Coturnix japonica: one gene and its partner. The protein of the gene in region 1 purifies or fractionates together with the protein of each later gene. This does not show direct contact. Links are inferred from orthologs where the notes say so. Each region holds a gene or a part of one and is shown on either strand. Other genes may lie near its edges.

Region 1 (4,829 bases):
TGGAGAGCAGCGAATACTCTTCAAGGACCCTCAGCCTCATCCCCAGGCAGAGCTGTAGAATAAACCATCCATTTCTTCTGCACGACTATCGAGAATCCCACAAATTATTAGGTCAGATGTGCATTTACAAAATTAGATGAAGTAAATCCCACAGAATGTTTCAAATGACCCCTTTTAAAGCTCTATTTTGTCCACTGGGTATATTTCATTTCATCATGCCATGATACCCCTAAATTCAGCTGAAAGGAAAAAGCAAGCAAGCTCCTTCACACTGACATTTGCACTCTCCTGTGTAATTTCTTTGGCTTGGAACAGAAAACAGAGGGAGCTTTTACACAACAGCCACGTAAACGTGCACAACTTGCAGACACACTGAGCCTCGCTCAGGAGCACTCAATGGCTCACAGACATTTGGAACCACTATTTATTGTATCACGGCTCACACAAAACACCCTCACTGGTACAGAACCACGTTCCCACAAGGATTACAGCCCGCGCCTCCGATTTTATCAAGAGATGAGGCCTGGATCTGCTCAGCTGCAGTGACGTCTCTGTTCTTAAGGGCCACAATCACTAACAGTATGACAGGAATTCAGGTATAACCTCAAATATTGCCATAGGAATCATCTCTGCAGGACGTTTTCTTGATTCATCTCCTTCCAGCAATACACACGCACTGGCCAGATGACACTTCTATTCAATATTCATCATCTCAGCTCTCCAAATCCCAGGGTAACAAACCAGAATAAATCATTGCAATGAAGCCACGCATCTTCTAGAAAGAATCAAATGAATTCCAGTTGTGAAGCCCTATCTCAGTACGTACATAAAGCCTTACTGTACTGGGGAGTGCACAGCGCTCGTCGCAGACCGCTGACTCATTCGAGATCTTTTCCTAGAGGTTCAAAAAAATAGCAAGGCATCCATGCCAAGTGCGAGTACTTTGTATGCCCTCCATATACTTCCCTCCCTCTGAGCTTTTCCCTTTTCTTTTTGTAATATCTGAATAAAAACTGCAAAAAAAAACCAACCCAGAAGTGTTCTACTGCATATGCTGTCGTTTCACGAAGTAGGAATACTGAAATAAAGAATTCCCCCTACGTGGATGGCAATGTGAAAGCAAAATGCTCATCCGCCTGCTCAACACCAGCAGGATTCTGAGGCAAACTTCTGCACAGAAAGCAGCAGCGCAAAGAGCTGCGACAATTACAGAGGGCTCCTTTCTGCACACAAAGGACAAAGATCTAATACCTCATCGCCGCCACCACTACTGGCTGCAAGCACAAAGTGAGTGCGTTACTGGAAGCTGCCCAACGAGTAACCATAGGAAGGGACAATCAGTCATAAAATCATCGAATCCTTCGTAGGAATGGACCTCTGAAGGCCATCTAGTCCAACTCCCCTGCAATCCCACAGGCCCGGCCAACACTCGCTCCTTTCTTCTCCTCGTGCCCAACGAGCTCAGCCCTGCACCGTGTCACGGGCAGACCCGCGGCGCTCAGAGCCACCGGCTCAACCACCTCCCCTCGCGCTTTAAGAGCACGGGCACCCTTCTCGCCCAACGTCTCCGAGGCGAGACGGCTCGCTCTCATTTTATCTGCCCCGGAGGCAGCGCACACTCGCACATAACCGCTTTCATCGCACGCTTTTTTCCGCCCGAAACTTGAAGGATGCCGCACAACGGGTCACATTCGGAGCGGCGACGAGCATTAAAGGCCCGCACACGGGATCGCCCCTTTGTTTTATCTGCTCGGGCCTTTCCCGGCGGCGTTTTGCTGGTGATTGATGACCAGCCGCGCTCCCCGCCCCCCTCCCCTCCTCCTCCTCCTCCTCCTCCTCCTCCTCCTTCCAGGCCGCCCCCCCACAACGTCTGGGCGAGGGGCGGCGGCCCCCCGGGACAGACTCTCCCCCCCCCACCCCGAGGGCAGGGGGGGCTCCGAGAGGGTCCCCGCCCCGCCGGGTATTTCCGCAACCGGGCTCGGCCCTGCGGCTCTCCCAGCACCGGGGGGAAGGAGGAGAAAAAAAAAAAATTAAAAATAAATAAATAAATAAATAAAAATAAAGAAACCGAACCTCCTCCGTGCCCACCGCCCCGCACTCCCCCCGCCCGGACCTTGTCCGCAGCCCCCCCCGCCCCGACCCCTCTCTCTCTCCCAGTGCCGGCCGCCCGCAGCGGCGCTACCCGCCCCCCTTCCTCCCCGTCCCTCCTCCCCCTCTCCTGCCGCAAACGGCCATTTCCATTGTGTCTCCGCCGCGATGCTGCCAAAGCCGAGCGGGGCCGGCCCCGGCCCCCGCCAACCGCCGATCCGACGTAAAACGGCCCCGGTGGGGGGGAGCCGCGGCACCCCCTCTTTCCCCCACGCCCTGCCCGCAGCCCCCCGCGTTTCCCCCCTCACCTGTGGTGAGCCGGGAGGACACCTCTCCGAAGGGCGAGGGCTCCATGCGCAGGTATTTCTGCGGGGAGGCGAAGGAGGAGGAGGAGGCGGCGGCCGAGGCCGGGGCTGACAATGGCGCACATCGCCTCCGCTTCGGGGACGCCGGGCTGAGCAGCGGGTCGAAATCCAGAGTCCTTTTCAAAGTGGCGCCGCACGCCATGGCGCCGGGCGGCGGCCGGGCCGGGGAGCGGGGCTCGGAGACGGGGGACGGGCGGACGGAGAGGAGAGCGGCCCTACACGGAGGCGCCTTCCTCGCTGTGTGGGGCGGGAGGGAGGGAGGGGAGCGAGGGAGACGGGGGAAGGAGGGGGCCGCTGCGTCAGGGCCTCCGTCGCCTCCCTATCGGCCTCTCTCAGGGGAGCGGCCCCTGCCCCCAGCGGCTCGGCCGGCCGGATCCCCTGTCGCCGCCCGTCCCGCCGTACCCCGCGCTCCGGCGGGGCCGATTCCGCCCGCGGAAGGTCGCGGAGCGGCCGCTGGGCCGAGGGGTGAGGAGCCGGGCCCGGTTATCCGGCCCGCGGCCGTCGATGACGAGCGATGGCGGCTGGGCCCGAGCGGCGGCGGTGGCGGCGCTCCCCTCTGTGACTCCCGCACCAGCAATATGGCGTCAATAACAACGCCGAGGATTCAAAAACCAGCCCCCCGCACTGCGCCTGCGCACCTGCCGCGGCAGGCGGCCGCGGAGGCTCAGGGGAATTGTGGTTTCTCCTCCCCTTCCTCGCCAATCAGCGGCGGGCTGAGCTCTGGGGGCGGCGGAACTACAAATCCCGGCGTGCCCCGCGCCGCTCTGCCCGGCTTCCGGGTTCTGATTTAAATCCCCCTTCAGCGGCGGTCGGGTGTGTTGGAGGGCGGTTGGGGGTGGGAGCGAGATGGTGGCGCCTGAGGGGCTCGGGGCGGGGGGGGGGGGGTGTTCTCCACAGGCTCCGGGGCACGGCGAGGGGCAGGGGGACACGGTGTGTGTGCTAGGCCCTGCGGCACGGCTGTGGGGCTGCTCGGACTCGTGTCGGCAGCTCCGGTGTGGCTGCAGTAAGGGCCAAGTGCCATCATGTGAGGGGAGAGCAGGGGCAGAGATAGCAGCTGAGGGCTCGGTTAGAGCCGGCCGTGCTGTGAGCAGCCTCCAGGCTTCAGGCTCCATTACTGACAGAGCGCTTGTAGCTCCAGCCTTATGTGGCAAGAGCTGAGCTCCTTCCTGTTTCTAATCGAAGGAAACTGTGTCACAGTTCAGCACAGGGGAAACGCCAACAGGAGCTGCTAGGCCTTAAAATGCATGTAACTTCAGCTTTTATGAGCCTTAATCTAAGGGTTAGCATCGAGATGTTGTCCTCAGAAGACTAAACAGGGAGCGTTTTAATGCTTTTTGGGTCATTATTATCTGTTATCTTTTCCTCTGTACAGAGATACTCGGAATATTTCCTTAGTGAGGAGGATGCTGACAAGCCTTCCTAAAACAGAACGAGGCTGAGGAAGTGCACTGATGTTGTTAGTGTTGTAATTGTCCAACTATTACTTTACCGGTATAACTCCTTCTGTGCATGCTCTTCTTAGGAATAATGATAGCTGGTTTTCCTTCCATTCATTTAATTTGCAATTTCCATTACATTTCCCTAAGCAGATAAGTTTCCCTGTATTCATGCAGCAGTTTCATGTATACTTATTGAGCGCCTCACCAAGCAAGGCTGAGGCTGAATTGAGGAACTTGTTAGTCACTCAGCATGTGCATGAGGCAATTCCTTAGTTTGGAGTGTGCTGAGACTGCCACTACTGCCATCATCTGTGTACTGAGAAATGTCTGTGTTGGGCGCAATGTTCATAGAATCATCTGAGTTGGAAGAGTCCCTGCAATGATCATGAACGAGCATGGTGCCCTGGTGGCCAAGAAGGCCAATGGCATCCTGGGGTGTATCAGAAGGGGTGTGGTTATAGGTCCAGAGAGGCTGTCCTACCCCTTTGCTCTGCCCTGGTGAGGCTGCATCTGGAATATTGTGTCTAGTTCTGGGCCCCTTAGTTCAAGGAGAGGGAACTACTTGAGAGAGTCCAGCACAAAGCCATAAGCAATGATAAGGGAGTGAAGGATCCCCCTTATGAGGAAAGGCTGAGGGAGATGGGTCTCTTTAGCTTGTAGGAGACTGAAGAGTGACCTCATTAATGTTTATAAATATGAAAAGGGCTAATCATAGAATTACCCAGGTTGGAAAAGACCTTGAAGATCATCAAGTCCAACCGCAGCCTAATCAGTACTCTGACTCTAAAAACCCTCTGCTAAATCATATCCCTGAGTACTACATCCAAACGGCTCTTAAACACATCCAGGGAATGTCAGGAGAATGGAGCCAGACTCTTCTCAGTGACATCTAATGATACGACAAGGGGCAAGCTGGAACATAGGAGGTTCCACATAA
Region 2 (4,943 bases), on another chromosome or scaffold:
CATCTCCAGACCAAACCCTGCAGACTGCACCCTGTGTTTCTTTTTAGGGAAGGCTGCTGGGTGCGTTGTAATGTAGTGCTCGCCTCATGCAGAGCCCTCAGGCAGGAACACAGCAACTGCTGAGAGCTGCAACAAGGCAGGACGCAGACATGGATGGAGGACACCCAGGGCTTGTTGAGATAAATACTGGTTCCAATGTCAGGGCCTGTGCTTGCTTTCTTTGGAAGATTTGGGTGAAGGAGAACCAGGCACCCAGCCCAGAAGGGACAGAAGGAAAAAGGGCAGTGCTTCTGGGGCACCATTCCCAAGATCTATTTCAGAGAACCAGTTAATATTCTTAGTGGATAAAGCATCTTAAACCAGGAAACACAAAGCAAAGCCTTACCCTCTCTGTGGTCTCTGGAGGTCTAAACTTTTCTGACTGAGAACACCAGTGAGTTTCCACATACTGTTTCAAAATGACGGATGCCAGCTGCGTTAGAAGAGAGGTCACAAATTAGGAACAAATCTCATAACCACAACAAGCACCACCCCCAACCCCTCAGCTCAGCCCCCCCCCCCATCCCATCACACTGCTTGGACCAAAAAGTCCTTGTCACACTGCTGAAAAAGCCATAGCAGTAAAAAGCTGAACTGATGGCCATTCCTCACACAGCGACAGCTTACACACTGCTGACACCAGAAGGCAGCTATTTCTCACCTCTACAAGAGCACGAGATATAGAGCACATGGTAACCACAGAAACACAGAACCTACACCTCCTTTGCAAGGAGGAAAACACCAACAGGAAAAGCTGTGGCAGAGAGAAGAGGACTTTTGCTGCTGGTGCCCACTGTGCACAGCCAGCACCACACTGGGCAGGCCCAGAAAGTGCTGCTTTCAAGAAAGGAAAGGTCAGCACACCTGGATGTGCTGAAGGAAGAAGTGATAAACCCATAGAAACTAAGGGAAAATGGAGGGCCAAAGGAAAACCACCTCCAGCTCCCCCAGGACACAGTGGGAGGCCCCACAAAGCGCAGTGCTGCCCATGTGTGTGTGAGCTCACCTGCCGGATGGCCAGCGCTCCCTGTGGATCCACTGTCAGCTCTGCCAAATGGACACCAAACTCTGCAACACAGAATAAATGCTTGTGTCAGAACTTTCATTCCCACGCAGGGAAACTCACCGAGACTTTAGGGGGAAGACACAATACCAACAGTGTGACTCATATGTAAGATGGAGAAGACAATTCTAGTGCAGAGCTTCTCACATAAATTGCTGAGCATTCATCCTCCCCTGTGCTCTCTGCACAAACTTCATTTGTTGTCTCAGCATCTCACTTCTTTCCCTCGTGGGTTAAAACCTTGCAGCTCAGGTTAACAACCAGCACAGGCTGAGATGTACTCGGCTCCCCATGGCTGCAGCTCTAACTATTCATCCCTGGGTCAGGACAGGGCTGTGGGTGTCCAGGTGTGTGGTGGGGAGTGGGACCAGATGGCCTTTAAGAGCCCCTTCCAACTCAAACTGTGACTCCATGAATTTAATGGTTGCACTGCCCTTGTTTTTACTTCCAGTGTTCTACCTTTAAAACATGCTCAATGCCAGCATATTTCTGGTTTCTTTATGGCACTTTAAAGCGCTCCTGACTCACGTGATCTACATTTCTTTCCCACAACAACACAGTGCTGCTCTTGCTCCTCCTCTTAGCATCTGCAAGGAGGATACGGCTCGTTCCTCCTGTGCTCCTCGACTCCCAACAGCACAAAGTAACGCAGATGAATGGAACCCAGAAGGCCTCCAGCCCACCCTTGTAGCAAAGCAGCATCAGCAGGGTCAAACCAAGTTGCTCAGTGTATTTTCAAGCTTGGAATCAGCAAAGCTTCTCTGGACAGCGTGCTCCAAAGGCTGGCAGTGCTCATGGAGGACAGCACCCCCGATCCACACAGTCTGAACCTGTTTGGAGCCACTCCATGGGAGCAGCCTGGTGAGCCTCCCCCAAGCGAAGGCATTAAAGCTTCAGAGCTGTGATGCCCTAGGGAGGACAGCAGTGAAGTGCAAAGTTACTCTGGGATATCTATAAAGCTGTGACATGTAGATGATGGGTTTGGACTCAGTGATGCTCTCAGGTCCCTCCCAGCTTGTGATATTGTGACTCCATGACTCCATTCCTCGTCCCCTGGATCTCCCTGATCCATAGAGCTCAGCTCTGCCATGTTCCTGCCCATCCCACACAGCACTGCCGGACCCGTACCGCTGCACCACCACCTCTAAACACCCAACAGCCCCGTTGGTAACAAACTCATCTCCCTGTACTGCACCACGGGAGCGTCACACACAGACCACAACAATAAACTTTCCCTTCATCCTCACGTCCCCTGGGAGCAGCCCCGGCCAGTCACACCCCCCCACCTTCCTTCTCTTTACCGTCAGGTTCCTCTGTTGACGTTTCTGAGCTGACAGACCTTCAGGCGGCACGAAGGGCCCCTTCAGAGCGGGCAGGGGCGGCAAAGCGCCATTAGGGCCCGGCCGGACCCCACAGCGAGGCCGCACGGGGCCGGTGTGCGGTTGTTGTACAGCAGACACCGGTGTAGGCCACACACCGCTCCGTGCCCAGCCGTTCCCCGCCCCGCTCCCGCTCATCGCTGCCCCACACGCGGTCGGGGCCTCCGTGGGCTCCGCTGTGGCGGCTCCACCCCCCGCGGCGCTGCCCGTTCCCGGCCCAGCTCCGTCCCCACATCGCCCCGCTCCTCACACAGCCCCGCGGCGCGGCCCGGCGCTCACTCACCCTCCGTCACCTCCAACACCTTCACCTGCTCCTCGGCGGCGGCTCGCACCGCCTGCACCGGGCACAGGATCCCGGTCAGCGTCTCCACCAGCGCCTCCTTCAGTCCCTGCGCTACCGGGCCCGCTCCGCCGCCTCCTCCCGCTCCTCCCGCCGCCGCCGCTCCCGCCATCGCCCCCTCACGCTCCGCCGCCGCCGCGCGGGATACGGGGCCGCCGCGCGCCAAACGCACGCACGCACGCGCGTCGCGTAGGGACGGCACCGAGCACAGCGCCCCCTGGCGGCCAGGAGGACGAACTGCAGCGGTGGGCGGGGCGGGGTGCGCGTGTCCGGTATGCGCGTGTCCGCGGCTGTGCGCGTGTCCGAGCCCCTCCCTCCCCCCCCACACCCCGAACCCGATTTTGAATGGGTTCCCTCTGTTTTGGAGCAGCTCTACAAACACCATCTCATTTTATAACATAACCAGGGGTTTTTATTCCACAATATAAACTGCAACGTTTGATACAAGCTACCCAAAAAAAAAACAAAAAAAAACCGAAAAAAAAATAAAAGGAGAGAAAAAGCCAAAATACAGCTGTGGCAATTTACTTTACAGAGCTTTTTTTTTTTTTTTTTGTTTTGTTTTTAATCCTTTATGTCTTCTACATCACGGCCCCTCAGCCACACTATGGGATCTACCAGCTGCCCTCTGTACATCAACCAATGCTACAAGCAACACGCCGACCCCCCCCAGCTGTCAATCAATCAGGTCGCTGAAACCAGACATAGAAGTTATTGCTCAGATAAATAAACCTAAAGCTACCGAAAACAAAGGGGGGGAGGGGAGGGAAAAAAGGGGGAGGGGGGGGAGAAACAAACCAAAAAACCCAAAAGCTAAAAAGTCTTCTGAAGGGTGAAGAACAGAGTAAACAGGGAGCTCCTCCCACAAGGAACGACCCCGCGCTGTGGGGCTGCACATCCCAGAGGTATCGATGCTGTCCAAGGGAAGGAAGGTGCCCCTTCCCCCATCAGTGCCGTCTGAGTCGGCCCAGACCCCGCCAACCCCCCCCCCCAACCCCACCATCCAGCTCCTGAAACCTCCACAACCACAAAGAGATCAAAGGGGAGAATACAAAAAGTGTCAAAAAAAAAAAAAAAACAACCCAAAAAAAACCCAACAAAACAACTCGTTTGGAGTTCTGGAAAATGATCCCGTGAGGATACAAGTAGCACCATTTGCAGCCTGGTTCTCCAATGGAAAACTCCACAGCTCTCTCTGCTCCAGTCCTGAAGGCTCTGCTGGCACTTTCACTTTCTGTACGGGGAGCCCTTCCCGGCGCAGCTGATGCAGATGTAATCCTCCTTCTCAGCCATCTCGGGGGAGATGCCCACACACACCTGGTGGAACCATTGGTTGCAGCTGCCGTCGCATTGGACCCAGTCCACCTAAGGAGGAATGGACACACACTGCGGCTCAGAGGCACTCAGGAGTTGCTTTTCAACCCCATTGATCCTAATGAGAACACAGCACCCACTGCACGCCAGGCACCCAAATCACTGCAGCCCAGCTCCATATGAAGCACAAACCCCCCTCCCATCCAGGGGTATGGATGGAAATGCACCCCAGCCCCTCACGCTGCAGGCAATGCCACCCTTCCCCATTTCTTAGCACAGAGTTCCAGGGCTGTGACTATATTCCAGGAGTGGAAGTGAACACGTTCCCACTCACCCCCCCCAGTCCCTTTGCAGCCCCACATTGCTGCTGTGATGCACGGCCCTGCTCCCCTTCCCTGCTGCTCCTGGGGCATTCAGGCAGGACCAGCCCCAGACTGTGACCCCTCCCCACCCTCACACTGCACTTTGCAGGCCAGCAGCTCCCAGCTCAGTGGTCCCACCTCCACTCACCTCGTCTCCCTCGGGCTGCAGACACGTCACTGCAGGGCAGATGGCATCTTCGTCCTCAGAGTCCTCCTGCTCAGAGAACGACGTGTCAGAGGGAACCAAATGACTTTCACTGCTGCGCTGCACCTCCAGGAGCCGTTCCCTCTCCCTCTCCATCCTGCTGCTGCTGCTGCTGCTCAGATCCTTCGTGTGACTCAGTTTCAGTTTCTTCTTTTTGGGTGTTCTCATTTTTCTTACCCTCGCTCTCTTCTCATCACAGAAGTTCTCCCTCTCGAAGCGGCGTTTCAGTTTTCTCTCCATG

Evidence for each region.
Region 2: the proteins of AKIRIN2 (region 1) and IPO9 purify together in Homo sapiens (affinity purification with mass spectrometry; 3 studies listed by BioGRID and IntAct, counting the BioPlex papers as one, with this or other methods). This does not show direct contact. The link is inferred for Coturnix japonica from reciprocal best matches to the Homo sapiens genes AKIRIN2 and IPO9.

What each region holds. Positions count from the first base shown.
Region 1 is NC_029518.1:69,560,348-69,565,176, reverse strand, and holds the start of AKIRIN2 (akirin-2), read right to left. Parts: upstream 3,043-4,829; 5' UTR 2,596-3,042; coding exon 2,397-2,595; intron 1-2,396. UniProt on the Homo sapiens protein: Molecular adapter that acts as a bridge between a variety of multiprotein complexes, and which is involved in embryonic development, immunity, myogenesis and brain development.
Region 2 is NC_029541.1:953,275-958,217, reverse strand, and holds the start of IPO9 (importin-9), read right to left. Parts: upstream 2,954-4,943; 5' UTR 2,934-2,953; coding exon 2,765-2,933; intron 1,108-2,764; coding exon 1,046-1,107; intron 473-1,045; coding exon 386-472; intron 1-385. Other genes in the region: KDM5B (lysine-specific demethylase 5B), read right to left, coding at 4,049-4,186, 4,646-4,943. UniProt on the Homo sapiens protein: Nuclear transport receptor that mediates nuclear import of proteins, such as histones, proteasome and actin. Serves as receptor for nuclear localization signals (NLS) in cargo substrates.